2 linked regions of the Oreochromis niloticus genome follow. The protein of the gene in region 2 binds, or shares a complex with, the protein of the main gene of each other region. Links are inferred from orthologs where the notes say so. Each region holds a gene or a part of one and is shown on either strand. Other genes may lie near its edges.

What was found. Proteins that work in one complex are often made in the same cells at the same time.
Region 1: tbp (region 2) and taf12 share a complex: the UniProt entries of both Homo sapiens proteins name them as parts of the TFIID basal transcription factor complex. The link is inferred for Oreochromis niloticus from reciprocal best matches to the Homo sapiens genes TBP and TAF12.

The regions. Positions count from the first base shown.
Region 1 is NC_031976.2:26,032,182-26,036,011, reverse strand, and holds the start of taf12 (transcription initiation factor TFIID subunit 12), read right to left. Parts: upstream 2,318-3,830; 5' UTR 2,159-2,317; intron 954-2,158; 5' UTR 811-953; coding exon 733-810; intron 432-732; coding exon 354-431; intron 108-353; coding exon 1-107. UniProt on the Homo sapiens protein: The TFIID basal transcription factor complex plays a major role in the initiation of RNA polymerase II (Pol II)-dependent transcription.
Region 2 is NC_031965.2:25,524,491-25,528,090, reverse strand, and holds the start of tbp (TATA-box-binding protein), read left to right. Parts: upstream 1-1,194; 5' UTR 1,195-1,324; intron 1,325-1,750; 5' UTR 1,751-1,909; coding exon 1,910-1,963; intron 1,964-3,067; coding exon 3,068-3,245; intron 3,246-3,374; coding exon 3,375-3,543; intron 3,544-3,600. Other genes in the region: psmc3 (26S proteasome regulatory subunit 6A), read right to left, coding at 220-1,164. UniProt on the Homo sapiens protein: The TFIID basal transcription factor complex plays a major role in the initiation of RNA polymerase II (Pol II)-dependent transcription.

The sequences.
Region 1 (3,830 bases), on a different chromosome or scaffold from region 2:
AACTGAACATCTTTCACCTCCAAGGTGTTGGACTTGCGATGGCGTGCCAGCTGACAGGCTGCCGTCACTACACTCTCTATAAAATCATCTGCAATTTGTAGCAGCATCTGAGAAGAAAACAGGGATTTTGAAAACCAGACAGCAAACTGAAGAAACCATCTGTTTCACTATAGCTTGAAAACCATCATATTTTCAGCTGTTAACAGCATTAGGCAAGTTTTCATTGCAAATGATGAAAAAAGGCTTTAAAGCAAAAAAGTTTAAATGTTATTCAATAAAGAGAAGATGCACTGTTCGTACGCTTTACTGTCTAGCCAAAAAATCTTGCACTTTTTTTTAAACTACTGACAAACCTCCTCAACGTCCTCATCCAGTTGCTCATTTGGGTCAATCTCTCTCACCAGGTCCTGCAGCTTTTTCTTACTTAGCACCTGGGAAGAAAGAAGATGCATCCATCAAAGCTAATGGGTGAGGTTGTGTGGTCTGCATAACAGCTTAGTGATAGTAAGAGATTGCAAAAATACAATACAACACAGTTTTCTCACATTTAAAGCAAGGAGCCATAAGTTTTGCACTGATATTTTCATGATATTTCATGTAAAAAAAAAAAAAAAAAAAAATCTTCATGTAAAACAAAATACACTCTCAATCTTTGGCATTTTAAGACATGAAGTCAGTAAGTTATTACACAGATCCTGGCCTTTGGTTCTGCTAAGTAAGAAATTAACTAACCTGAGATCCCTCTGGACTACTTCTACCCGCAGGGCCTGGTGGCAGACCCTTAACCACTGTCACAGTGCTGTTAGCCATGCTAGTGGCTAAAAGAAAAGCAGAGAGACTCTGAAGTGTCACTGCGGGGCAAAACCGTTGTGGTGGGTCTCTCACGAACCCTCAGCAGCAAGTTGAACTCAGATGTGATGAATTACCTCTTTACCAGGTCCACAGCCGTGAATCTGAAATTAAAAAGTCAGAAATTAGAGTTACTACAGAAATTAATCACAGGTTGATCAAGCTGTTTAGGTTGAATGTCAGGACATTAATAAAAAAAAGGCTTGTATCATCGTTTTCTTTACCAATTACACTCAAAAATGCAGAGTTTATGTCTTTGCAGCCTCTCAATTGTCAGAGCTTGAAAAGGGGGGAAACTGTCTTTGGGTTTGTGAAGCCAGACTTTCCATTTAAGAGGCTTCTTCAATTCTAAAGACAAATGGTGGGATGTCCAGGTATTTAACCCGTACTAGTGATCGTCCTGTTTGGAGGTGGTCCTGAGAGTTGTTGACAGACTACTGATCGTGAGCCAAAGTGTGAAAAAAGGGCGTGGGTCATTTCCATCACTGGGGGATAAGGGCAAAACTACTCTTGCCCACTCCATCATGTGACCTATTGAGGTTCTGATCATCTAAACCCACTGTGAACGACCATTATTGATACAATTAGGACGCCAGGTATCAACAAACTACAATGCAGTCTTAGGATCCCTTCCCAGTAGTTTCACCCTTAACCCCTCGATGATGATAATGGCCCACTCCTTTATTCACACCTTGGTTCATGTGATGAGTCACATTATTAATAGTGGGTTAACGACTCTCAGGACAACGTAAAGGGGAAAATTCCTGGGACTTTCCACCTTTTTGGTTTTTAAAATTGAATAAGCCTCTTGGATAAAACGTCTTCACAAAGCTAAAGAAGTCCAGTTGCTTTCTTTATTCAAGCTCTGAAGACTCTTGGTTTTAAAGTAAAAAAATAACACGAAGTTTTACCATAAAAGCCGATGCTTTATATTTACAATATAAAGCCTTTTAGCTTTAGTTGATTTTATTTTTTGTTTACAATATTTATTAGTAACTCTACTACCTTTACAATACCGAAAGTATGCCAAAATCCAAGCCATGCAACTTAGCCGACAAACAATGGCATGGGTTTACTGAAAACATTAATCGAGTTAGTGAAAAATACGACACTCAAAATATAAAAACAACAGACCATAGATTAATCATGGCTGTGGAGTTTCACCGAGTAAAACAAACAATAAAAAACACACCGAAGTTTGCGCTAACATTGGTGCTAAAAACAATAGCGGCTAACGTTAGCACCGAATCCGGTGGAGAATCGATATGGAGGCTAAATCTTAAAACTGTGCGTCAAATTGTCAACTTACTCAGTTAAACAAACACTATCTGTCCATGCTTCGGCGTTGCTGTGATGCCAAATTTGTTGTTTGACACAAAAATCGTCTCTCACTTTCCCCTTTGGGTAGCTGGAAAAATAATCGAGGTTTCCTTTCAGTACTTCCGCTTTGTTGATCTCTGTTTCCTGTGGACGCCGCAGCCCTGGGTCCTCTAGTTTGCCGCCTGCTGGATGTTTCGTGGAATTACAACAACAAAAACTCGGATTGATCTTTTAATAAAGAAGCGTTGCTGTCTTTAGTAACTACACGAGCTAATTTTACTAAAAAATAAAAGTTTACATGCTTCGAACAATAGTTATAATTGTTAGTTATAATATATAATAATTTAATAACATAATATTTTCATCACATAACCTAGATACTTAGACATAAACATAGATTTATTCCTTTCCCTTTTACAGAATACAGTGCAAAAGTCTTGAGTCACCTATATTTTTTAAATACATATTTTTATTCTATTTATTATTCATTATTATACTATGTTTATATATTTTATATTCTGCTCTCAAGGAGTTGCTTTCTTGTAATTCCTTAAAATTTAATTGAGCAATAGTTCTCTCAGTTTCATTTTTTTTAGTTCTTTCTCGTTCATTTTCACTTCAATCTTTGCACCTGAACATTTACAGATGATTATTTTTTGCTTGTGTGTTTGTTTTGGTTTTTCTTTGTTTTCTTTTTAAACTACTTAACATGGATCTTATCATTCAAGCAAAAAAAAAAAAAAAAAGAAGGAGTTTTTCCTTTCCACTGTCCCAGGCCAAAGCTGTTGTTCATAAGGGGTCATCTGATTGTTGGGCTTTTCTATGTTTTCTCTATATTATTGTAGGTTCTTTACCTCACAAAACAAAGCGCCCTGAGGCAACTTTTGTTTTGATTTGGCCCTGCAGAAATAAAATTGAATTGAAGTAAAATATCAGATGAAACTGGACAAGATAAGTTAAGATAAGATAAGATAAGAAGAACTTTATTTATCCCGAGGGAAATTCTTTTGTCATACACATGCTCAATGCAGCAAGAGAGACAGAGGAACAGAGTAATAAGATATACAATATGTACAATAGAATACAAGTATACAGTAATATACAGTAGAATAGTGCAAAATATAATATCGAATAACTGTAGCAAGTAACAATATAACTATATCCTGAAAAATAAATAGCTTAGCTTAGCTATCAGTGCAGGTGATTCTAAAAGTATAGTATTGTGCAAATAAATAAAAGAGTAGCAGCATACGATGGGGAAATGAAACAAACATTCAATGAAAAACTGTTGGGTGATATTGCACGGTCTGAATGGGAACAGATTAGCTTTGTTATTAATCCTCAGGAAAATCACCTACAGAGTGAGGAAGAATTGTACAGTTTTATTGCAATAAAAAAACAAGCAGAAGACAAAAGAAGAGGTGGTAGGTCCAACAAGCTTCATACAGCGTATGAACAGTATCTGAAAGTCATGTCCTCAAGAAACAGAAGTCCAGCAAGAGAGATGTGTTTGGAAAGATGTATCTGGACCTTCAGGTGAACCATCTACTGTTCACTGAAGCCTCGTCAGAAATGGTCTCAGTGAAAGAGGGAGAAAAGGCCGAGGTGTGACAAATTACACAAAATTTATACTGAAAATCAATGACAACAAGTCTTATAAA
Region 2 (3,600 bases):
AACTCCAGTCATCATAAAGTATTACTATGGGGGTTTGGACACTGACAAAATTTTAAAGTTTTTCTTAATGAATTGTTGTACAAATTCACTTTAGGTGCCTTAGATCTACTCAGATGTAGTATATAATGTTTTATCAGTATTTAACATTAAATAACAGTGAAGTGGTATCAGAATTGTGGTGCACTTTTGCTGTATTCAAGAGTAAACAGGCAAATTTACCTTGACCAGCATGTTTGGCTGAAATCCATCTAGCTGGTTGAGCAGCTCCAGCATGGTCCTCTGCACCTCTCTGTCTCCAGCCTTCTCGCTGTCAAACCTCTTGGTTCCAATGGCGTCCAACTCATCTATGAAGATGATGGATGGGGCTTTCTCTTTAGCCAGGGCAAAGGCATCTCTCACCAGCTTGGCACCATCTCCAATGAACATCTGCACCAGCTGTGGACCTGCAAGCTTCAGGAATGTGGCTTTGGTCTGAGCGGCACATGCCCTGGCCAGTAGGGTCTTCCCGGTGCCAGGGGGTCCATACATGAGGACTCCCTTTGGGGGCTGGATGCCCAGGTTTTCAAACTTCTCCTTGTGGTTCATCGGCAGCACTATCGCCTCCACCAGCTCCTGGATCTGCTTATCCAGACCTCCAATGTCGCTGTACTGCTCTGTGGGGCGCTCATCCACCTCCATGGCCTTGACTCTGGAGTCATACTCGGTTGGTAAGGTCTCCAGGATCAGGTAGGAGTCTTTGTTAACACCTACGAGGTCTCCCGGTTTTAGCTTCTCGGCGTCCACCAGCCCGATCACCGGCAGGAAGTAGGTCTGCCGGGTTGAAGTTTTGATAACTGCGCACTTTCCTTTTCTCTGGGAGTCCAGGTCCACGTTAGCCCCGTCCTCCTCCTGGTCGTTGGGGTCCACATCCAGCAGCTCGATCACGTTAGACACCAGGTAGGGCAGCGTTTTGTTCACCTTTATCTTCTCCGTGTTTTCTTTAATTTTATCCTTCATAGCCTGAAGCTCGTGGGTTACTCTCAGCACTTCGCTCTTCATTATCTTTATCTCGCTGTCGAGGAGACGAGTGCGCTGAACTATCTCCTCTGTGGACATTTTTAACACTTCTTCGCCGATCCCATCCTCCACTTCATCCCAAACTGATTTGTCACTCAGCGACGCCATCTTTGCTGTGTCTGTGGTGAACTGTGACACGACGGAAGAAGAAGAAGGAGAAGCTTCCGGAAGTAGGTCGTGAGCGCCCAAGAAGAAGTCCGGGTTAATAACGGAGCTGGAGCTGAATTTATGCTGTTTGTGTGTTGATTTTAACAGCGGCACCTTGATTGTAAGCTAAAGAAGGGTTTTCTGGTTCATGCTGACAGACTTTTGAGTTATTTGCAGTTGTTTTTACCGCATAAATCCGAAATTTTTAAACGTTTACGTTGCAGATTCATGATTGCTAAATTTGCTAATGCTAACTGCCGCTAACTTCAGCTAGCCCGTGTGCTTACACGTTTCATTTTGTGCGAGGAATGTTTGGGAACTTTATTAGCGGCATTTTGCACACTTAACTGGTTAAAGGACACCTCATGTACTGGGCAAGAAATGAACGAGAGAGTTAAAGTAATGTTAGAAAAGGTTAAAGTTATTTAAATGAGTTCGCGCCACCGCTTGCTGCTGCACGATTTTGGTTTCATTCATTTGCATGTTGTTTACGCCACTTTGTTTGAATGTTTGTCTGAGTAAAGTGTGCTTCTTGTCATCTTTTCAGGCAAGACACTACTGCCGGGGGTAAAAAGAAGAGTCTGCAGTGTTTGCGTCTGGTGTTTGACATTGTAGGCTGAAGGTTTAAAGAGCCCTGCTGGGTTAGTTATCACGCTTTTACTGCCTTCTACTGGGTGGCAGTGAAGTAACGTGGGAATCTAAAGGGATGGACCAGAACAACAGCATACCAGCCTTCCAAGGGCTGGTGGCTTCCCCTCAGGTAACATGGGCTTTGTGTTTCATCGTTAAGGCATTTTGAAAATGAAGTCACAGATTTTAATGTCTTTAGCTATCCGTTGTTTCTTTATATTTATGCATCCAAGGAGCCAAGTTCTTCAGGCTTTCTAGGTTCTTAAAAATGGGGACTTTTTTCCACATTTTCAGTTCAGTCCCTGTTTTCATAGGAATCTGTATTGTTTGTTAAACCACTTAAAATGACTACCAATGAGAATGAAGGATACTGCTGATGAATGTATGTTACTTATGCAACCAGAGCCTGCTTTCCAGTGATGAACCATTAGCGACAAAGTGATGGATGATGAGTAATTTCCTCCCTGTGTCAACACCCCTTAAATCATCTCATGTGTTACTAAATATTAAGGTTGGGTGATTGGACAAATATATTGACTATCGACGATAGGCTGAGCCTTTAACAGATCACTTTTACAAGAATGATTTATTTATTTGTCTATGAGTAAGTTTTCTAATGATGTTGGTTAAAGCTAAGAGAAGCAGTCAACGGAAAAAATACTTTTTAACGGCACCCTCCTCAGAGTGCGCCCAAATGCAGCGATTCATTTACTCAAACTCATAATAGAAAGAAAGAAAGGGAGAAGAAGTTAAGAAGAAATTTTTTTTTTTTATTTAAATAAAAAAAAACACACACGCAATGGTGGGGAGGGAAACAAAGAGATACTGGCTAATAATCCAAAAAGTAGCTATAATAATACTGAAACAAGCAAGAAAAGAAGGTGAAATATTCCCCCCAAACAAAACATATAAATTCTGAACGCGCAAATCAGATTACATTACATTGCTCTGCCCATCAAAAAGCCTGAACCTGCGTGAATATATTGCATATCGTCATTTATCGGACGGACCATTGTCGTTTGGAAACTTTTTACATATCGTCCAACCTTACTAAATATGATTTATTTCTAAAGTTGCGTCTTTATTTCAAGAAAAAAAGACACCTTGAGCTGTCACAGTTGTGATCACTGACCTAAAAACAAGAATACTAACACTGAGGGAACCGTCTTATATCTTTGGTCTGTAGTTAGTTTGTGCTTCATTACGCCCTTCTTTTTGCTTTATCCCCATGCAGGGAGCCATGACCCCAGGCATGCCGCTCTTCAGCCCCATGATGCCATATGGCTCTGGTCTGACACCCCAGCCAGTGCAGAACACCAACAGTTTGTCAATACTGGAGGAACAGCAGAGGCAACAGCAGGCTCAGCAACAGCAGCAACAGGCACAACAACAGGCACAACAGGCCAGCTCAGGTACACCACAAGCTGTCATTTTTTTTATCTTCCACATTTATTATGAGAAATCTTGGTTTAATTAGCCGTGATGGAAGTTAATCTCCAGTTACACATAAATCACCACTTTTTTTTTTTTTCCTTTTGCAGGGACGTCGGGGCAGACCCCTCAACTTTTCCACTCCCAGGCAGTGGGAGGCTCGACCACAACTGCACTGCCAGGAAACACCCCCCTCTTCACCACCCCGCTGACCCCCATGACCCCCATCACGCCGGCCACCCCTGCTTCAGAAACCTCTGGCATAGTACCGCAGCTACAGTATGTTTCACATCTCATCCCACCCACCCCCATTTTTGGTGATAACTGCTTTAAACG